Linked DNA regions of Struthio camelus. The protein of the gene in region 2 interacts with the protein of the main gene of each other region in a biochemical or structural test. Links are inferred from orthologs where the notes say so. Each region holds a gene or a part of one and is shown on either strand. Other genes may lie near its edges.

The links.
Region 1: of the proteins of RPTOR (region 2) and RPS6KB1, one has a biochemical effect on the other in vitro, tested with the Homo sapiens proteins (6 studies listed by BioGRID and IntAct, with this or other methods). The link is inferred for Struthio camelus from reciprocal best matches to the Homo sapiens genes RPTOR and RPS6KB1.
Region 3: the proteins of RPTOR (region 2) and AKT1S1 interact in a biophysical measurement, tested with the Homo sapiens proteins (2 studies listed by BioGRID and IntAct, with this or other methods). The link is inferred for Struthio camelus from reciprocal best matches to the Homo sapiens genes RPTOR and AKT1S1.

Annotation. Positions count from the first base shown.
Region 1 is NC_090957.1:18,707,776-18,714,890, forward strand, and holds the start of RPS6KB1 (ribosomal protein S6 kinase beta-1), read left to right. Parts: upstream 1-4,114; 5' UTR 4,115-4,264; coding exon 4,265-4,336; intron 4,337-7,115. Other genes in the region: TUBD1 (tubulin delta chain), read right to left, coding at 1-207, 888-1,104, 1,558-1,705, 2,302-2,473. UniProt on the Homo sapiens protein: Serine/threonine-protein kinase that acts downstream of mTOR signaling in response to growth factors and nutrients to promote cell proliferation, cell growth and cell cycle progression.
Region 2 is NC_090960.1:1,159,852-1,167,714, forward strand, and holds the start of RPTOR (regulatory-associated protein of mTOR), read left to right. Parts: upstream 1-4,857; 5' UTR 4,858-4,968; coding exon 4,969-5,130; intron 5,131-7,863. UniProt on the Homo sapiens protein: Component of the mechanistic target of rapamycin complex 1 (mTORC1), an evolutionarily conserved central nutrient sensor that stimulates anabolic reactions and macromolecule biosynthesis to promote cellular biomass generation and growth.
Region 3 is NW_027182627.1:110,811-118,145, forward strand, and holds the start of AKT1S1 (proline-rich AKT1 substrate 1), read left to right. Parts: upstream 1-4,334; 5' UTR 4,335-4,440; intron 4,441-5,556; 5' UTR 5,557-5,784; coding exon 5,785-6,024; intron 6,025-6,131; coding exon 6,132-6,219; intron 6,220-7,335. Other genes in the region: TBC1 domain family member 17-like, read right to left, coding at 1,168-1,230, 2,025-2,123, 4,070-4,090. UniProt on the Homo sapiens protein: Negative regulator of the mechanistic target of rapamycin complex 1 (mTORC1), an evolutionarily conserved central nutrient sensor that stimulates anabolic reactions and macromolecule biosynthesis to promote cellular biomass generation and growth.

The sequences.
Region 1 (7,115 bases), on a different chromosome or scaffold from region 2:
GGCACCTTCTGCTGTGTAAATGGGCTGGAAAACACTTCCCAGCTGGTGTGCAATGACTTGATTTACATCCCTGAAGGAGATCTGTTTAATATTCATGAGTTGAGCACAAATCTTGTGAATGACATCGTTTTCATGAACAAGAAGGGCATCTGATGACTGGTACAGATGTGACAGAGTCAGAACGGAGTTGTAGTTTTGAACAATGACCTGGAAGCAGAAAACCACGCACACACATGAGAGTCAAACAACTTATTCTTTCTAGTTTATATTCCTCTGGGTACTATCATTTCCGTAGGTCTGATTTAGGAAGTGATTCATTTTCTTTACCAAATTTAGGCTAGGAGCTAGCATAGCTTTCTCATGGACAGAGAGCAAGACTTGTGAAAATCATACGATCCGGCTCAGTTCATCCAAACATGCTAGAAGAAAGTCTCTCTTGGAACTGATTATAGTACCTGGTCACTATCATAACTACATAACATTTCACACAATGTAACATTTCTAATTAGATAGCAGAGCTTCTGAAGATACTCCATTAAGATCTAGTAGTACAAGAGCTAAGGTATAAACTTTTTTATCATTATTAGCTTGAGATAATAATTTTGATAACCTTTATTGACAACAATAACCTTTTGATAAATAATTCTGAAATATTTTTTTCTTGTGTGAAACCACCTGTACTAGCTATTAGGCAAACAATTCATTAGCTGTATTGCCTTCTGTCATGTTGAACTTAGAAAAAGTAAAATTTTTCTCTTTTCTAGTCTCTTTCAGTAGTTGACATTTTGTTTTTACTTCTAGTAAGGAGTCTTATTTATTTACATTGCTATTCTTTTGTAATCATGATTAAAGTTTTGTAGAATATGTAAGGTACATATGACATTCACCTCACCAGTTCCATATGGCCAGATAACATGGTTTAGTATAAACGAGGCTGGAAAAGCATCCCTTAAACACTGGGTCACAAATGCTCCCAGGCCGGATCCGGTACCACCAGCCATGCTCATTATTGTGAAAAATCCACTGAGACGGTCACATTTCTCTGCTTCTTTTTGTACCAGATTCATGATTACATCTTTGTGTTTAGGCCCGTGAACAGAGTAACTGTTGAATAACAGAGAAGGCAGCAAGACATGGCAGATTCTATTAAAATAAAAGCAATAACATCAACCTATTCATAAAGCACGCTTTTCTTTTTATTAGTTATATAACCTACTATTGTGTCACCAATTCTACCTGTCAGAAACAATCCTCAGCTGTGACATTTGTGTTGTAAAAAAAACAGCTGTTTGTAAAATGTGCTTGTTGTTTTCTCTTTTTTAATAATATTCATCACTCAGTTTTAAAATATTCTTCACTGTGAATGCCAATTTCACGTTGCAAAAAGCAGTCAGAAATTTTGCTATTACACATATTGTTACTCTGTCGTAAAAATAAAACAAGCTAATGTTACAGACTCTGTACTTGCACAGCTGCAATAATACCATTCCTACAGCGTCTAGTCTGCTCATCACCCTCCACAGTTATGTTAGCAAAGCTTGAAATGATTGTTCATACCCATTTGCCCAGTTGTTCCCGGACCCTTGTTTCTGACAGAAGTGTGATCGATCATCATATTTCCAGTAGCCAGACCTGGCAGCTATGGATAAGGTTTGGCTGATTACTTTGGGTTCCATGTCAACAAGCACAGCCCGGGCAACAGGTACTGGAGAGGAAGAAAAATAAAACTAAGAATAATATGCCAGTCTTAGAATTTGTTTACATAAGACAAACAGACAGACAGGCTTGTACCAAGGCCCAAACTGTATTCCTCCCACCCATATAAACTGAACTGTCAACTTCAATGGGACAGTACAGAAAAGTATGGAAAGCAGAACTTGGCAACATTCCAAGTTTCTAGAGCACCACCTATTGTTCCAAAGAGATCTGAACTCCAGAGACCTTTCATGAAAAAAACTATCCCTTTCATAACACAGAACTGGGATTTGATATGACCATGCTCCATGTTATTATCTACATAAATTGGAAAAAAGGAGAGGTTGGAAGGAAAGATTTACGTATAGGTAGCTCAGTTTCCAGCTCTGTTATTGGCATACTTGCTCTGTGGCCTCAGGTGCTTTACTGCACTGTGGTTTTGCCTTTGTAAGTGGCCTCATGAGGACAGATGGTTGTGACAAGTCTTTAAGAATGAAGGCAAAATTCTTCAACCAAAGTAAAAGTGTATGTTATTTCTGTATTCTTAACTATGCTAGGCTAGAAACAAGACCCTCTGTGGGAAACAAAAGTCTTTAAACGCTGTACCTCCAGCTTTCTCCTCACTGAAAAAGCGTTCTTTGCAAGCGTCATGGTATGATTCATTCTCCTTCTTGGAACACAATCCATGCGTGCCATGGACGTCACTGCAGATAGCATTAAACACCTCGTGCCCAATTTGATTACCACACTGACCAAGCTGGACTGTGACTACTGACATTCTTATTCACTTTGTATTTAACCCTAAAAAGGAAAAGCATGCCTTTTAGTTATTCTGGGAAAAAAAAAATTCAGATCAGTTTTGTAACTTTTGCCAACTCTAGTGAGGAGGAAAAGGCTATGCTACAACAACTGCTTGTTCCTGGGGAAATGCTGTCTGTAAGACTTCATCCTGAATGTCAGAAGAATCTCGGTGACCATTTAGAGGAAGCCAGTCTGTTTACTGTTGCTATATATCTTAACAGAACTGAAATCAACCATACAGCAAACAAAGTTAAGTCTCTATTTTCTCACTTTCGCTTAGTAAGGCAGAGTAAAAAATAATCATTAGAAATCCAGCAAAGCCCGAGGATGAGGCTATAAGAACATAATAACTATACTAAGAAAGTACTAGATGCCTTTAGAAATGTGCAGCCCATTTGCAAAGCCAGCTGATTTCCAGTCCTACTGCTGGGGGCCTGATGCCAAAACCAGCTGAAGTGACAAAACCAGCTGAAGCCAAACCAGCTGATGCCAAAACCAGCTGAAGTGACAAAAGAGTCCCCTAGAGCATACTCCTTCCTCCAACCAGAGTGATACTGGCATGCTTGGCCATTTTTCCACTCAGTTTTTTGCTGTAACTCTGGTTTCTCACTTTTTTCTTTTTCCACAAAGACAAGGTCAATATTTGAACTCACTTCATTATTCTGGGCTGCTATTTGTCATTATCGTCCCAGCTGTGCCACAGCACATCTGTAACGGCGTTCTTGGGATAACCACCAGCTCCTGTAATTCGATCCTGCCGCACTTTGTAGGCAGGTATGTGTTTTTTGGTTTTGTTTTTGCTTTTGTTTTTGCTTCCTATGCTGGATTTCAGCGTTTCTGCTAGTCCGCACCTCCCCCCTTTAAAGCCAGGCCGCGTATCAGAGTTACTCCTCGCGGCAGGAAATAAATAAAGCTGTACACGAGCTTCCGAAAATGCTCCAGGTGCGGCCGGAGGGCAGCCCCGGCTCCCCGGCCGCCCGCGCCCAGCGTCGGCACCGCGCCCCGGGGGGCGCCCGCCCGCCGCCTCACGCCACAGGCCGGGGCCGCCATGTCGCCGCTGCTGCCCACCTCGCGCCGCCACCTCTCCCCTTCCAAAGCCGCTTCATCCTCGACGACCCCCGCCCGCCCGCGCCTGCCCGCGGGCACAGCGGCCCTCCCCAGGGTGCTGGTCCCCCCGGCCCGGACAGGGCCGGCCGCCCTCGGCCCCGCTCGGCCCCTAGCTCCCCTCAGGGCTGACCTCGACACCCCCCGCTGAGGCGCTCGGGGGGGGGCGCCCGACAGCGCATGCGCGAGCCCCTTCCTGCACGAGCCCTCCGCTTCGGCCCGACACGCGCCTTCGAACAACCCGCTTCGCGCATGCTCAGAGGGAACTTCGGGCAGGTCGGGGCGAGGGTCAGACGGGCGGGCTTCACGGAGCGCAGTACGCATGCTCGCAGCGAAAGGCCGCCTCTTGCCCTCTGCGCACGCTCCGTGCCAGGCTCAAGGGAGTTGGAGCGCGTGCTGCGCATGCTCCGCTCCGGCCCCGAGGGCTGTCACCCAGCGGGGTGCCCACTGAGCATGCTCAATGCGGCCCCTCACCAATGCCGGGTGACGCAGTGCGCCTGCGCGGCGCCGGGAGTCGGGGCGGGGGCGCAGGCGCGCTGAGGCCTGGCAGCCGGTGATGGCGGCCGTGGTAGAGTTGGGGGGTGCGGGCCCATGAGGCGGCCCAGGCCCCGCGCACTCAGCACAGCGAGGAAGGGGCGGCGGCGCCGCTGCTCACACCCGCGCCATGGCGGGCGTCTTCGACATCGACCTGGACCAGCCCGAGGACGCGGCTTCGGACGAGGAGCTGGAGGAGGGGGTGAGAGGGGGGAACCCGCGCCGCGGCGGGAGCGGGAGGAGGCCGCCGCGGGGCGCGGCGCCGGGGCAGGCCTGAGGGCAGCGGGCGCGGCGGCCGCCCGAGGCCGCTCCCGGGGGCCGGGCGGGCGGGTGGGAGGGAGGGAGCGCGACGCCGGCCGCCGCCGCGGCCCGCGCAGGTGAGGAGACCGCGCCCTGTCCCGGCCGCGCCGCGCCGCCCTGTCAGCGCCGCCGGTGGGAGGCTCCGCGCCGGCCCGGCTTCGCCGCGGCTCCCAGGCGGCGGGAGCGGCAGGTGCCGGCCGCAGCCAGGCACCGGGCTGCAGGCGGCTCCCGGCCGGGGCTCCCCGCCGGTGGGGGCCGCGCCAAACTCGCAGGAGCTTTATTCCCCCCCACACCCCCTACCCACAAAAGTTTGTTTTTGGATTTTCTAGCACAACGGTGTCGCAGTAAGGGTCTTGTGGTTTTTTTTTTTTTTTTGCTTTTTCTTCTTTTTTTTCTCGTCACGTTTTAACGGCAGTGCAGAAATGCTGATCGTTCTGGAACTGTAGAAAGCCCTTGCTCTAGCGCCAAAATTAAATGCGGAGCGTTCAAGTGCTGTGCTAGACGCCTATGCAGATCAGCGCGCCTCCCCATCTCAACGCTTTTCTTGCACAGTTCACCTTGTAACTCGTACTTCGTCGTTTTAGTGTTTCATACAGATTCTGTTAAGGCTTTGGGGGAATTTTATTACAGCATTTCTGTTTCTATTTTTCTAGTGCTACTGTGGCTTTTTATATCATTCTGTATGTTAAAGTTTTGGTATTGCTTAAAGTGTTATTGCATTCATTTTATGCTGTGTAAATCTTAATGACGTACTTAGAATCTCTGAGATAACCCAGTGCTCTGTATCACAGTTGGAGTATGTACACTGTACGTATAAACTGCGGAGATATTATTTGACAATGGAAGGCACATAGTTTCTCGACTTGTAGGAGAAAACACTATCTGTGACCTCAGTAATCAATAAAGTACCTAGCTTAAAAAAAAGTCACCTGCATCACACTGTTAATGTTGCCAAGAACAGGTTCTAAGGGGGACTGCAAGAAAAGTGAATTAATTCTCCCTCATGTTCCAATAATTCAGTCTTAAAGTGTAACTCTGAGGAATGATTTAAAGATTTCATTAGTTATTGTGAACTTTAAAAAAAAAAAAAAATATTTGTAGCACAACTTCTATGAATATGAACGTTCATTGGCGACCTGACTCGGTTCTCGGATGGCACAAAAAATGAATGTTTGCCTGTGATAGCCACATTCAATGTTACATGCTTGCTTCTAGTGTTTGGAGAAATGTCAGTAAAATAAAATCAGCAGAGGAATTAGGTGTTTGGAAAACAGATAAGGAAAAATTAGAATGGACCTAAAATTAAAACAGAACCAGAAAGCAGAGACTATAAGAGCAGGAAAGAAGGGGAAGCATCAGAAAAGTGTTCTGGGAAAAACGTTTAGCAGAAATCTATGTCTACAGGCATTGTGCATGTCTTTCAAGGGTCAGAAAGACATTGCAGACTGAGAGGTTGAGATCATTAAATTCAAAGTGAGCAAGGTGTAAAATCAGGCTTATCTAGTCTAGTCTGCCCAGAGCTGGGCCTTTGCAGCTCCTGAAAACTGTAACCCTCGTAGCCTCAAGGACAGAGCAGTTGTAGTTTTACACAGGCATGGCTATTCTAGAGCAACTAGAAGTAAAACTAGAAGTAAAAACAAGTATTTAGGTGGAGAGTTTACTTGTAAGTGATATGGTTGTTTGCACTAGTTATTACAGTGAATAAAACCTTTATGTTTTTGTTTGTACTAAATGAAAGAATAACTACAAACTGAAGGGTTTCTAGCCAGCATACCATTTCATTTCTTGGTTTTGTTAAACAACAAGAGAAAAAGTCCTTGCAAATAACGGACCAGTATCTGAAGTGAATTTTGCTTACGTTAGTATTGAGAACGAAAGCAGGGGTAAGAATAGCATGCATAAGCTTTGCCAGAACCAGTGGGTAACTTCAAGAAGGAAAAAAATCTAGAAATGTAATGGATATTTATTCTCCATCTCTGATGAATTTTTGAATTTGGTTTTTGTCATCTAACGGTAGAGTCAAGGGCAGCTTTGGTGTATTTTATTGTGAAACAGATGTCAATAAGCTTGATTTCTCTAATAAATGTTATCAAGAGGACATGAGCTAGCAACTTTCCAACTTGGAAACTGACTTGAACTTTTGGACTCTGTAATTGCTGGTGGTGCTAGTAGGTCGAACCAGAAGTTAAATTCCCCTCCAGCTCACCCACCAAAATATACCAGCCTCTGTAAGCTTTAGTGTTTACTTGGTTTGGAAGCTATTGAAAGTTCATCATTTTCTTTGGCTAGTGTTTTCATTTACATAATATCCAAAAATGTACTCCTTAGCTTAGTCTGCTTTTTGCAGATCTCTGTATGGCTTTTTTCGTCTAGTTCTCTGTGGATTGCACAAGTCATTCATTATATCTGTATCCAGTCCTTAGAGTCCAGACTGTTTCTCACAAACTTGGCAGTCTCTATTTTATGTATATATTTTTAAAAATAAAAATGTAACGCATTAGGAAGCTTACACACTAAATTCTCTTTGTTTTCATTCCAGCTGTCTGCTTGGTTTGCACTTTTTTGCCATGTAGAGTCACAATTAAAGAGGGAGATACTATATCGCATTTCGTAGGAATCAAGTCAAAAATTCTTTTAAGAAAGTATATCTTCAATTGAACTACATTCTTTAACGATGTCTA
Region 2 (7,863 bases):
TATGCTTATTAGATTTTCCAATTCCAGCTGAGTGTGCCTTAAGCATGTAAGGGGCTGGGACTGGCATTCAGAATGGTCTGGACAAACTGGAGATATGTAAAAAATTTGATTTAATTTCCATATGGAGAAATGCAATGTTCCACATGCAGGCTTTGGAACAGCACAAAGCAGAGAACAGGTTAAAACATCTACATGGCAATTCCAGCAAAAAGGATCTGGGGATTACTGTGAATCACGAGCTGAACATGACTCAACAATACTATCCTATTTCAAAAAGAGCAACTACCATACTGGGATGTATAAATAAGTAGTCAGTGAAAGGCACATAACCGTCCTTCTGCCCCAGCCAGTGCTTGTAAGGCTGCGCCTGGAGAGCAGAGCCCAGCCTGGGAAACTGCGCCTCCGGAAAGGTGTGAATCAGCTGGAAAGAGTCCAGAGAAGAGCAACAGGATACGAGGTCTAGGAATGTAATATGGAAAAAAAGGCTAAAAAAAGTGGAATTGTTGAGTCTAGAGAAGGGGTAACCACGAGAAGACTTAAAAACAGCTTTCATATACATAAAAGAGGTGAAAGGAAAAGAGAATAAACTGTTCTCTCCATCTACTGAGGGCAGGAATGAAGTACCTACTTTAATTTTAAGATGGAAATGAGCTGTTCAGAGCACATTGCCTAGAGAAGTTAGGTAGTCTCTATCACTGAAGGTCTTAAGAGCCTGTGATACTGCAGAAATATGAACTAAACATTATAAATAAATAAATAAAAAGAACATTAACAAAGCTCAGGCATATACTGGCTGGAGAAGCACATGAGCAGCCTAAATTATATACTCTAGTGGCATGGGGCTTGCTGTGGTCTGTCCAAGTTGATAAATACTTTTCCTGAGTAAAAGCTGCAGAACCTTCTTTGGGGTGAAGGGAGCCAGGACCTGACACTGGACTATAGAGTGAAATGAAGGAAGCATCACTTCTAACAAGTAATTTTTATGGAGATATAAATGAAAGATTATTTATGGCTCCCTTTGGTCCTTGTCCAATGGAAATGAAATAAGCTTTGATTAAAGCATATAGCTGCAAATGATCGAAGAGAGCCCACAACCACCACCCTGAAGATTTTCACTATCAGAGGACAGATGCCATCAGGGCCAAGTGCTTGGCAGTGCTATATTTGAATAAATCAATTCATTCTGATTTCTGTCAAAATTTGCAAAATTAGGAATTCAGATGGAGACTGATCCCTGCTGACCTGCAGCATATGTCCTTTAGAAAAGGATATTTGTGAGGCTTCGTGAGAGACCTGATAAAGTGCAGATGTATTTTTTTCATTTGTTATTTACTGGCTCCAGTCAGTTCACACTTTCCCAATCATAAATTTACTGAAAGTAAATGTTATGCCCTTTTCATCATGCATAAAAACAATAATGCGTACTTAGCGCATAGGTTGTGTCATCTGAGCCGTCCCATAGCATCCCCTTTGCTAAGGTTATGGGTGTTTTGAACGGTCCTCCCTGTGGCCGGGTGCGAGGGCAGGGAAGGCAGCCCGTCACCCCGCCGGCTGGGGCTGGCGGCACCCCCAGCCCAGGGGTGGTAACTGCGGGGGGGCAGCGCCGTGCTGCCGTGTAGCTGGTGTGGATACGCACACTGACGATGTCCTATCCCAGCCCATTCCTGGCTGAGCTGCTGTCTGTAGAGGCAGTATTTCCTCACTGCAGAGACTTACGGTGTTTTATTACATGTAGAAATGGCATAGCAGCCTTAAGAAGGTGCCGAGGAGCCTGCGAGGTCCCTCTGGCTCTCAAGAAACCGGCCTTTCTGACGTTCCCCTCATGTGGCTCTTCTGCAGTGCCCCAGCAATGCAACCCAAATCCTCAGAGGTAGCAAAGGCTCCATCCTGAATCACTGCACAAAGACTAGAGGAATACGGCTGTGAAAACTGTGAAAAGAGGCTGCTGTGTGGAAACCGTGTTACGAAAGTGGGAACTGGCTCTAGGCTTTCTGCTGCCACCGAGAGCAAGCGGCAGGGCAGCAGAGGACAGGCCTGGTTCACATAGCCTTAAGTAGGTTTGCAGCTATGTGGATCTGTATCCACAGGTATCTCCAGGAGCATGACTGTTTTTATTCTTCCATGGAAATTTGTATACAGCTTGATCCAGTACAGTGTGAGTGTGAAGGGCTGCTAAGGCAGCATTCTGCACCTATTCATATATATATATATGTATAAAAAGAATTGCTTGCATGCAGGGACCTTCTATCACCTTATTATTCTAAGGCAAGATGATCTTATAATGTATCGGTTTAATTTGTTATTTTGCCCAGAATCCGGGGCCAGAGGGCTGACCCAGGAAGGAATGGGGGTCCTGATGCCATTGCCATGTATCTCATACTGCCTTTGGTACTGAGAAGCAGGCAGCATGAGGATTCCCAGCCTGGAAAGATAAGAAAAGATGTAATTAGGCAGAGCAGGGTGGATCTGCAATTGGAACAGTGATGTGGAGAGCCTCAGGTCTAGACTGAGGTCCTCCTGGGGAGCGTATGTCTGGGATAATGGGGGTATTGCAGGTTAGAGCTGATGCGCTCACAGAGCTGTGCGGGAGGTTTGCTGACAGCCTGTTCTCACGGTCTGGTTCTTATCCAGACAGCGAAGCAATCACTTTAGCTCCATTCTGAGGAGTCTTCTCCCCTTTCCCTTCCTCCTCCCTTCCCCTTCCCCATAGAGCCTCTATTATGTGGAACAGAGCAGAGATGCTGGAGAGGAAGGGATAAATGACCTGGGAACGCTGAGGTCCTCAGATGAGCAGGACAGCGTTTCAGAGAAGTCCCTGAAATAAAGGGGAAGGACATGTCTGCACAGGGAGCAGCTACCCGGGAGTGGGTGAACATGGTTCTGGCAGATGCCATGGACTCAGCCTAGAGGACTGTGATAACACATGGTTCTTATCTTAAATAATCACCATTTAAAAGCTTTGCATATGTGAAGTGAGGCAGATTTGTGCTCTCTGCTCTCTGGCAGCTGTGTCCTTCAAAGGTATTTTCGCTGGCAGCTCCTGAGGCTGCACAGCAGGCTGTTCTCGCTGGATAGGCACCGACTCCAGGATATGCTCCCTAATGCTCTGTCAGGATCTCGGATTAGCATCCTTCACTGCACAGCGCAGGGGTCCATCTGTTCGTTCAGGCATTTCAGCTGGGGTGGATTAGTTGTGCTGGGTGCTCGAGCTGTAATTTTTCAGGTAATGTGTTGAGATTGTTAGTCCTATTTTGTGTAGCTGCCGCTGGTATTATGAATCCATTAAAGGTTAGCAGAAATGCAACCATAAGCGCTTTCCATGCCATGGCCATTCATTTTAATAACAATCAGGTAGTTATGATCAGCCACCAACGTTAAACATCCATGAAACAGTGAATCAGTTCAGTCTGTAAATCAAATGAACGACAGAAAACATTGGCGACCCCAGGACCAGAGCCTTCGAGAAACGTTCTTTTCCAGCCGATTGTGGAGAACAGTCTTTGCATTTAAAGTATTTCATGAATGTGAACACACCGAAAATGGTAACGAAAATTCATATGGGTCTATAAATCAAATTGTGCACGTATTCTTAGATTTATACTTTGAAATAATTTTTATCCACATTTAAATTGTAAATAGGAATACAGTTCAACTTGTCTACTGCTAAGAGCAAACACTGAGAAACTCCATTAAGAGCAATTTTTGATATTAACCTGCAGTGTTGAATAGTTTATCTGATAGTAAAGAGGATATAATCCTAAAATAATACATTTGCTTTTCCTTATATAGAGAGCGAGCATATATTAGATGTAACTCTGTTGAAGCATGTTGTCCCCTTTTACTATCCCTCTGCTTTTTTGCCCCCGCATGAATGACAACACAACTGAAACAAGGCCCGAGCCGCGGCAAATTAGACTAGTGGCTGGGCTTGCGCTGCAGGAGCGCGTGTTTGGGGAAACTGGGAACAAACAGGAGCATGTTAATGCTACTGAGGGCCAAGAACTGGAAATCACGGATTTATTTGTGACTCTCTTTACGATGAAGACCATCAGGACTACAATGCGGCAGCACGGCGGTCCGAAAGGCTCTGCGCTGCCTCAGGCGTTGGCGATATAAGCCGCGTGGATTTTTTGGGGACGTTTGCTTTTAGGGCCCCACAAGCGCTCAGTGGATTCTCCTCTTCTGCGAAGAGGGCACCCCAGGGAGCGACAGCCCCGGAGGACACCGGGGCTCTGCCACAGGGTGGAGGAGTCCCTGCGGAGAAGGCAGCTGGGTGAGGCCGCTAAAATGGGCGACTCCGAGGCGCCGGGCAGCCCCCTGCGGCCGCAGGCTGAGGGAAGGGCCGGCGGGGCGCCCCGGACAGCGGCGGAAGGGACAGGGCCGCCCGCAGCCTCCCGCCTCGTCCCGCGCTAGGCCCGGGGCGGGCCGCGCTGGTAACCATGGTAACCGCGGGCGGGCCGGCGCGCGGCGGCCCGGCTTGTCCCACGCGGCGGCCCGTAGCGCGGTGCATTGTGGGCCGGAGGAAGATGGCCGCCTCCTTGCTGTGCTGGTGAGAGGAGTTCGGCTGCCCGGCGCCGTAGGACGAGCCGCCCCGGTTTTTTCCCCCTCCCGTTTTCCCCACCTGACGCCCGCCCCGAGGTCGCAGCTCGCTTACTCGGTCGTCCGCCCGCTCGCCCGCCCGCCCGGGCGCTGGGAGCCGCGATGGGCCGGGCGCGGCTCCCGCCGCGGAGAGTGCAGGGCCCGCGGGGCTAGAGGCGCGGGTGGAGGCCCCGGGCCGGGCCGCCCCCCGCGGGGCCGGGAGACGCCGCCCGCCTCGCCGACGGCGCTGCTGCCCGCCGGCCTGCCCGCAGGAGCGCCGGGGCGCCCGCTGCCTCCCGCCTCGTCCCTGCCTGCGCGCCCGGAGAGGAGCCGCGGCGAGCGCCGGGCCGGCCCGCGCTGCGCGCTCGTTGCCGGGCTCTTCCCCCCCCGATGGAGTCTGAGATGCTGCAGTCGCCTCTCCTGGGGCTTGGCGAGGAGGACGAGTCGGACCTGACGGACTGGAACTTGCCCTTGGCCTTTATGAAGAAGAGGCACTGTGAGAAGATCGAGGGCTCCAAGTCTTTGGCTCAGAGCTGGAGGATGAAGGACCGGGTAAGGCTCAAGGGCAGGGTGGGTTCTGTGTGTGGTGGGGGCGGGGGAGGCAGTGAAGAAGAAGGAATAGCAGCTCCGAGGGGTTTTGTAGTTCCAGCTGCGCTCTATTTTCAGATGAAGCACTGGGTATCTGGTCTTGTAGTCCAGCTAGCCCTGAGTTTGTGTGCTTGTCTGCATGTTTACTTCCCCTGCGGCCATATGACAAATCAAAAATATTAATCGTTAGTTCATGGTAGTTTACTCTTTTGAGTAACTCCTTTATTTAAGCACTTCAAGTAAAATTCGGATGTATGTGTTTTTTCAAGAAAGACGATAATTAATGAGGTCTTAAGGAGCTCTCTGGATCAGCAGGCTAATGATGCAAGCACGCACGTTGTGATAAATGTCATCATTGTAGTTGTTTAGTGGTGAAGATGCATGGAAGTTTTGTGAGTTTTGAAGTTTGCCATCCACGTGTTATGTGGAATATATGAATAAGGTATTCTTTGCAGGGGAAAGAAACTGAGATCACGTGATCTTTTTGGGAGCCAAAAATACTTATTAGATCAAGTTCTCATTGTGTTACAGCAAGGTGCTTCTCTTGTTTTTAAACATCTGTTGCACGTTAAACTGATAAAGTGCATCAGACAAATATCCCTGCTAGGGTATCTGGAATCCTCTGCTGCATCTCAGTGCCCACTTAAACTTTTCTGCTTATATGAAAAACAAACAAAGCATCCTGGATAGTCAGCTCTGCTCACTCTGTTCTTGGGATCTGCTTTGACTTACAGGAGTCCTGAGGTCTCAAAGGCGTTCTGCCCAGATATGTGTGCATATGACTGTGTGTGTGAATACTTACTCTGTTTCCAAATTTATCTTTTGCGTGACTGAAACTTTTTGAAGAAGTAACGTCTCTACGTTCACAAAACGTGTTTCTGGAAGTATTTATACACTGGTACCACGTAGCTAGAACCAAGTAGATTATTTTTACGCTCCCTGGTGTGGTGATAATCTGTTTGTGATGCCATTCTTTGTTAATAATTCTTCCCACATACTTTTTTGATATTTCATATCTTTCTAAGAGTTGAATTGATTTTTTTAATGATGCATGTTTTACAATGCCAACAGAACAGCTGAGATTGGGATTTTGTTGCACTAGGCATGTTAAAGATGAGCGTAGTCCCTTTCCAGTGTTAAATGCTATCTAAAAAAGAAGAAGATAGAGTGGGTTGTAGACGCGATGAAGCAAAGTGGCCAGAGTGACAATGTCAATTTTATATTAGCTATGCAATTTTGAAAAATGTCTATTTGTTATATGGGAAGGGCCAGGGATCAGAGTAAGTGAGATGATAGTATGAGAAGTAGCTGTGTAATTGTTTAAAATGAAAAAATAGGCAACAAATTTACACATTTGAGAGAGATGAGTTTTAAAGAGACACCAATAGTAGTATTTTCTGTAGCTTAGAGTGGTTCTACAGCACATTTCAGTCATGTTTCAGCCAAATGATACTAATCATGGTTGTAAGATCGGGGGGGGGGGGAGGAGGGAGGGACTAAATTTCTATTATGTTTGGGATCCCTTTTGTGACCTTACTTGGGAAGTCAGTGAAACTCTGTCCTGCATTTTCTTTCCAGAGGCGCTATGGCTGGGTATGAGAATGCTATATGCAAATCTAAATGTTCCTAGAGGGGTATTCACCTAAATGGTTATAATTCTCAGAAATGCTGGGAACACATAGCTCTACCTGGGCCAAAATTGTCTGGCTGTGTGGAATCATCTACTGGAAAATTGGGTTGGCAGACCATTAATGGAATGGAATGAGATTTTTGGAGTAGAATTTAATTTAAATGAGCCACAGAACACAAAGTTCTGTGGTATGTCTTCTTTAAAGGGTTTTGGCAAAGAAGAGATGCTGTCTCTAGTAGACTGTGGAGGTGTGATGAGCTTGCTTGTCTATTTTAGTGGTCTCTGCCTTCCTGTGAAACTTCCTGTTCACTTCTTTCCTGATCTGCAAAGCTGTCTCTTTCTAAATGAGGAATGATATTGACCTGATCAAGATAATCAATAGGTTAAAGTATAAGTAAAGAGGTATTAATCAGCTGTCTTCTCTGTATTTGATTGCTGCCTGTGTTTCACATGCATGTTACAGCCAAAGGGAATCATTTTAATGACAAGAGCAATGGTTACAGTAATTGTCACGGCCCAGTTCCTACCATCCTCACTCCTATGGAGTGGTAATTTCTTCTTTTAAGACTCCTCCGTGCTTTGAGTGTGTTATTTGCTATGAATGAGCACGGCAAAGTCACACTCTGACTGATTTCATTCTCAAAGTTACTGAGAGTCTTATTTTTGTAAGTGAAGAAAATAGAAACAAATCTTAAATTTTCAGTTTTGCTCTTCTGCTTTTGTAATCCTACATGTTATTGGAAAGTCTAAAATGAATGTTGTTACTTGTTTCAAGTTAACTTTCCTTTATATAAGGATTAGTGGTTCTGGTGATATGTCGCTGTGTGTCTGGACAGCTTTATCGATTACTGTTTGTCCAAACTTGCCATTTGGTGTAACTGCTTTTAGTGGGGTCATAGGAATATATAGAAAACACATAAAACATCTGAAAGAGGACAGGAAGATAACTTGAGAATATTCAATCTCTTTTCATTTCTTTTCATAGTTGTTTTTCATATATTTTATTTTATTTAACTTTTCTATCTGGCGTTGGATGTCTCTTTAGCATTTGATGGGATGTAACAAAC
Region 3 (7,335 bases), on a different chromosome or scaffold from region 2:
CAGTTGGGGGGTGGTTGGGGGTCCCGGGGGCAGCCGGGGGTCCCAGGGGCGGTTGGGGGGCGGTTGGGGGTCCTGGGGGGCGGTTGGGGGGCGGCCAGGGGTCCCGGGGGCGGTTGGGGGGCAGTTGGGGGTCCCGGGGGCGGTTGGGGGGCGGCCAGGGGTCCCGGGGGCGGTTGGGGGGCAGTTGGGTGTCCCGGGGGCAGTTGGGGGGTGGTTGGGGGTCCCGGGGGCAGCCGGGGGTCCCAGGGGCGGTTGGGGGGCGGTTGGGGGTCCCGGGGGCAGTTGGGGGGTGGTTGGGGGTCCCGGGGGCGTTTGGGGGGCGGCTGGGGGTCCCGGGGGCAGTTGGGGGGTGGTTGGGGGTCCCGGGGGCAGCCGGGGGTCCCAGGGGCGGTTGGGGGGCGGTTGGGGGTCCTGGGGGGCAGTTGGGGGGTAGTTGGGGGTCCCGGGGGCGGTTGGGGGGCGGTTGGGGGTCCCGGGGGTGGTTGGGGGGCAGCTGGAGGTCCCGGGGGGCAGTTGGGGGGCAGTTGGGGGTCCTGGGGGCGGTTGGGGGGCGGCCGGGGGTCCCGGGGGCAGTTGGGGGGCGGTTGGGGGTCCCGGGGGTGGTTGGGGGGCGGTTGGGGGGCAGTTGGGGGTCCCGGGGGCGGTTGGGGGGCGGTTGGGGGTCCCGGGGGTGGTTGGGGGGCAGCTGGAGGTCCCGGGGGGCAGTTGGGGGGCAGTTGGGGGTCCTGGGGGCGGTTGGGGGGCGGCCGGGGGTCCCGGGGGCAGTTGGGGGGCGGCCGGGGGTCCCGGGGGCGGTTGGGGGGCGGTTGGGGGTCCCGGGGGTGGTTGGGGGGCGGTTGGGGGGCAGTTGGGGGTCCCGGGGGACGGTTGGGGGGCGGCCGGGGGGCGGTTGGGGGGCAGTTGGGGGTCCCGGGGGACGGTTGGGGGGCAGCCGGGGGTCCCGGGGGCGGTTGGGGGGCGGTTGGGGGGCAGTTGGGGGTCCCGGGGGACGGTTGGGGGGCAGCCGGGGGTCCCGGGGGCGGTTGGGGGGCGGCCGGGGGTCCCGGGGGACGGTTGGGGGGCAGCCGGGGGTCCCGGGGGCGGTTGGGGGGCGGCCGGGGGTCCCGGGGGCAGTTGGGGGGCAGTTGGGGGTCCCGGGGGCGGTTGGGGGGCAGCCGGGGGTCTCACCGTGGCGCCGGGGGGCTCCGGCGGCCGCTCCAGGGGCTCCCACTGCAGCGTCACCGCCCCGGGCTGCGCGCCCCACGCCAGCGCCCCCAGTGCGCACCAGTGCTCACCAGTGCCCACCAGTGCACACCAGCACCCACCAGTGCTCACCAGTGCCCACCAGCACCCACCAGTGCGCACCAGTGCCCACCAGTGCCCACCAGCACCCACCAGTGCACACCAGTGCCCACCAGTGCCCACCAGTGCTCACCAGTGCCCACCAGCACCCACCAGTGCCCACCAGTACGCACCAGTGCCCACCAGTGCCCACCAGCACCCACCAGTGCCCACCAGTGCCCACCAGTACGCACCAGTGCACACCAGTGCCCACCAGTACGCACCAGTGCACACCAGTGCCCACCAGCACCCACCAGTGCCCACCAGTGCTCACCAGTGCGCACCAGTACACACCAGTACCCACCAGCACCCACCAGTACCCACCAGCACCCACCAGTACGCACCAGCACCCACCAGTACTGACTAGCACACACCGGCGCCCACCAGCACCCACCAGCACCCACCCCACCGGGCCCCGCCCCAGATGGACCCCGCCCCACCAGGCCCCGCCCCCTCCTGATCCCACTCCATTTGCCCCGCCCCCATCTGGCCCCGCCCACAACAAGCCCCGCCCCACCAGGCTCCACCCCACCGGACCTCGCCCCACCAGGCCCCGCCCCCTCCTGGCCCCGCCCCTCCAGGCTCCCCCCACCAGGCTCCACCCCCTCCAGGCCCCGCCCCTCTGGGCCCCTCCCCCTCCAGGCCCCACCCCCAGGCCCCTCCCCCTCCAGGCCCCGCCCCCTCCAGGCCCCGCCCCCACGCACCCGCTGGAGGAGGCGCAGCACGCCGGGCACGAGCGCCTCGCGGGCCCAGGGCCGCCGCACACGCGTGTGCACGAACACGCCGCCCCGCTCGAAGGTCACCTGCCGGCGGGACACGCCCACCCTCACGCCCCCGCCAACGACACGCCAGCGACACGCCAACGACACGCGACGGGCACGGACACAGGATGGACACGGACACAGGATGGACACGGACACGGGACGGACACGGACACGGGACGGACACGGACACAGGACGCTGGGACCCGGACACGCCAGCGTCACGGGATGGACACGGACACGGGATGGACTCAGACATGAACATGGGACAGACACGGGACGGACACGGGACGGACACGGACACGGGATGGAGACAGGATGGACACGGACGTGGACACGGACACGGGACGGACACAGGATAGACACGGACACGGGACGGACCCGGACACGGGATAGATGCCGACACGGGACGGGCATAGACACGGGGCGCAGGGACCTGGACACGCCATCGTCATGGGATGGACACGGACACGGGATGAACACGGGAAGGACATAGACACAGGACGGACATGGGATGGACACGGACACGGGACGGACACGGACACGGGACGCTGGGACCCGGACACGCCAGCGTCACGGGACGGACACGGGATAGACTCAGACATGAACATGGGACGGACACGGGATGGACACGGGACGGACACGGACATGGGACAGACACGGGACAGACACAGACACGGACACGGGACAGACACGGGATAGATGCCGACATGGGATGGGCATGGACACGGGGCGCAGGGACCCGGACACGCCAGCGTCACGGGACGGACACGGACGCGGGATGGACTCAGATATGAACAGGGGACGGACACGGGACGGACACGGACAAGGGAAAGACACAAGATGGACACGGGACGGACACAGGACAGACACGGGACGGACACGGGACAGACACGGACACGGGACGGACACAGGACGGACACGGACACGGGACGGACACAAGATGGACATGGGACGGACACAGGATGGACATGGGATGGACACGGACACGGACACAGACACAGGACGGACACGGGACGGACACGGGACGGACACGGACACGGGACGGACACAGGACGGACACGGACACGGGACGGACACAAGATGGACATGGGACGGACACAGGATGGACACGGGATGGACACGGACACGGACACGGACACGGGACGGACACAAGATGGACACGGGATGGACATGGACATGGGACAGACACGGGACAGACACGGGACGGACACGGGATGGACATGGGATGGACACAGACACGGACACGGACACGGGACAGACACGGGACGGACACGGGATGGACATGGGATGGACACAGACACGGACACGGACACGGGACGGACACGGGACGGACACGGGATGGACATGGGATGGACACAGACACGGACACGGGACAGACACGGGACGGACACGGGATGGACACGGGACGGACACGGACACGGGACACGCACGGGATGGACATGGGATGGACACAGACACGGGATGGACATGGACACGGGACGGACACGGGACGGACACGGACACGGGACGGACACGGGACGGACATGGGACGGACACGGGACGGACACGGACACGGGACGGACATGGGACGGACATGGGACGGACACGGACACGGACACGGGATGGACACGGACACGGGACGGACACGGACACGGACACGGACACGGGACGGACATGGGACGGACACGGACACGGACACGGGATGGACACGGGACGGACACGGACATGGGACAGACACGGGATAGACTCAGACACGGACACGGCACGGACACGGACACGGGACGCTGGACCTGGACACGCCACCGTCACGGGAACACGGGACCTGGGGTCACAGGGGTCACAGGGGTCACGGTGGGGTCACAGGGGTCACGGCGGGGTCGAGGGAGGCCCGGGGGGAGGGGCGTCACGGGAGGGGTCACGGCGCGGTCACGGGGCCCCGCCCCCTCCGCGAGGCCCCGCCCCCTCCGCGAGGCCCCGCCCCCCCCCCCCCCCCCCGGCCCCCTCACCCGCTCCCCCTCCGCCGCCATCCTCCTGCCGGCCGCTTCCGCAAACAACCCTGACGTCACTTCCCCCGAGACTCCCCGCCCCTTCCGCCGGACGCGGCCCGGGGGGGGGGAGGAGGAGGGGGAGGAGCCGCGCGCTGACGTTGCCCCTGCGCGAGGTGGGCGCCGCCATGTTGGGGCGGAGCTGGGCGCCGCCATGTTGGAGCGGAGCTGGGCGCCGCCATGTTGCGTAGCCGGGCGGCGCCATGTTGGTAGGCGGGGCTCCAGCTCGGCTGCCCCGGTGGGGTGAGAGGTCAAAGGTCGCGGCGCGACGTCACCGCGGCCGCGCCGTGACCGGGGGGGCCGGCGCGGAGCGACACGGACCCGCGGGGAAGGTAACGGGAGGGGCCCCCTCCCCCTCCCCCCCCCCCGGGAGGGGGGCCCAGGCGTCCGGGCCCTTCCCCTCCCCCATGTCCTGAGAAGGGGGGGCCCCGGCGTCCGGGCATGAAGGGCCCAGGCGTCCCCTCACCCGAGGGGCCCAGGTGTCCGGGCATGAGGGGCCCAGGCGTCCGGGCATGAAGGGCCCAGGCATCCCCTCACCCGAGGGGCCCAGGCGTCCGGGCTATGAGGGGCCCAGGTGTTTGGGCACGAGGGGCCCAGGCGTCCCCTCACCCGAGGGGCCCCGGCGTCCGGGCATGAGGGGCCCAGGTGTTCGGGCACAAGGGGCCCAGGCGTCCCCTTACCCGAGGGGCCCCGACGTCCGGGCTATGAGGGGCTCAGGTGTTCGGGCACAAGGGGCCCAGGCGTCCCCTTACCCGAGGGGCCCCGGCGTCCGGGCATGAGGGGCCCCGGCGTCTCCTTACCTGAGGGACCCAGGCATCCGGGCATGAGGGGCCCAGGCGTCCCCTCACCCGAGGGGCCCTGGCATCCGGGCATGAGGGGCCCAGGCGTCCCCTCACCCGAGGGGCCCCGGCGTCCGGGCATGAGGGGCCCCGGCGTCCAGGCTATGAGGGGCCCAGGTGTCCAGGCACGAGGGGCCCAGGCGTCCGGGCACGAGGGGCCCAGGCGTCCCCTCACCCGAGGGGCCCCGGCGTCCGGGCTATGAGGGGCCCAGGTGTCCGGGCACGAGGGGCCCCGGCGTCCCCTCACCCGAGGGGCCCAGGCGTCCGGGCACGAGGAGCCCCGGCGTCCCCTCACCCGAGGGGCCCAGGCGTCCGGGCATGAGGGGCCCCGGCGTCCCCTCACCCGAGGGGCCCAGGTATCCGGGCATGAGGGGCGCAGGCGTCCGGGCCCTGAGGGGCCCCGGCGTCCGGGCATGAGGGGCCCCGGCATCCCCTCACCCGAGGGGCCCCAGCGTGCAGGCTATGAGGGGCCCAGGTGTCCGGGCATGAGGAGCCCCGGCGTCCCCTCACCCGAGGGGCCCAGGCATCCGGGCATGAGGGGCGCAGGCGTCCGGGCCCTGAGGGGCCCCGGCGTCCGGCCACGACAACTCCATGTCCCCTTCTGTTTAGGGACCCCGGCGTCCGGCCGCGAGGGACCCCGCCGCCCCGTCACCCGAGGGGACCCCGGCGTCCGGCCCTGAAGGACCCCGGCGTCCGGCCGCGAGGGACCCCGCCGCCCCGTCACCCGAGGGGACCCCGGCGTCCGGCCGGGCCGAGCGTTTCCCCCCAGCGCCGCCCCCCCCCCCGCCGCGGCGCCCCAGCTCGGTGGGCCAAGGGGGGGCCCCGGCGTCCGGGGCCATGGGCGAGCGGGAGGGCTGGGCGGCGCTGGTGGCGGCGGCCGAGCGCTTCCGGGGGGCGTCGGGGGCCGAGGTGGTGCTGCTGGCCGCCTGGGGGGCTCCGGGGGGCTTCGCCTACGCCCAGCACGGCGGGGGGCCCCTGGGCGACGCCGCCCGCCGCTACCTGCGCGACATCGCCGCCGCCCACCGCGCCGCCGCCGCCGCCGCCGCCGGCCCCCCCCCGCCGCCGATGACCCCCCCGGCCGCCGCCGGCGGGGGGACGACGACGACGACGACGACCCCCGCCGCCGCCGCCGCCGTGACGCCGGCCCCCCCCGCGCCGCCGTCGCCCGCCCCGGCCCCCCCCGGCCACCACGGTCGCCGCCGCGGCCGCCACCGCCGGCCCCCCCCGAGAGACGGGCGCCCGGGCGGCCCCCGGCCCCCAGCGACGCCGGCGGTGATTTTTTGGGGGGGGGAGGGTCTTGGAGGGATCCTTGGGGTGCTGGAGGGGTTCCTTGGGGTGTTGGGGGGGTCCCTGGGGTGCTGGGGGGGTGCTGGAGGAGTTCCTTGGGGTGTTGTGGGGGTCCCTGGGGTGCTGGGGGGGTGCTGGAGGAGTTCCTTGGGGTGTTGGGGGGGTCCCTGGGGTGCTGGGGGGGTGCTGGAGGGGTTCCTTGGGGTGTTGGGGGGGTCCCTGGGGTGCTGGGGGGGTGCTAGAGGGGTTCGTTGGGGTGTTGGGGGGGTCCCTGGGGTGCTGGGGGGGGTGCTAGAGGGGTTCCTTGGGGTGTTGGGGGTTCCCTGGGGTGCTGGGGGGTCCTGGAGGGGTTCTTTGGGGTGTTGGGGGGTCCCTGGGGTGCTGGAGGGATTCCTTGGGGTGTTGGGGGGGTCCCTGGGGTGCTGGGGGGGTCCTGGAGGGGTTCCTTGGGGTGTTGGGGGGTCCCTGGGGTGCTGGGGGGGTGCTGGAGGGGTTCTTTGGGGTGTTGGGGGGGTCCCTGGGGTGCTGGGGGGGTCCTGGAGGGGTTCTTTGGGGTGTTGGGGGTTCCCTGGGGTGCTGGGGGGGTCCTGGAGGGATTCCTTGGGGTGTTGGGGGGGGTCCCTGGGGTGCTGGGGGGGTCCTGGAGGGGTTCTTTGGGGTGTTGGGGGGGTCCCTGGGGTGCTGGGGGGGTCCTGGAGGGATTCCTTGGGGTGTTGGGGGGGTTCCCTGGGGTGCTGGGGGGTCCTGGAGGGGTTCTTTGGGGTGTTGGGGGGGTCCCTGGGGTGCTGGGGGGGTCCTGGAGGGGTTCTTTGGGGTGTTGGGGGGGTCCCTGGGGTGCTGGGGGGATTCCTTGGGGTGTTGGGGCGGGTCATGGGGTGCTGGGGGGTGCTGGAGGAGTTCGCTGGGGTGTTGTGGGGGTCCCTGGGGTGCTGGGGGGGTGCTAGAGGGGTTCGTTGGGGTGTTGGGGGGTCCTTGGGGTGCTGGGGGGTGCTGGAGGGGTTCATTGGGGTGTTGGGGGGGTCCCTGGGGTGGTAGTGGGGGTCCTGGAGGGGTTCGTTGGTGTCCTGGAGGGCTCCTTGGGGTGCTGGGGAGTCCTGGAGG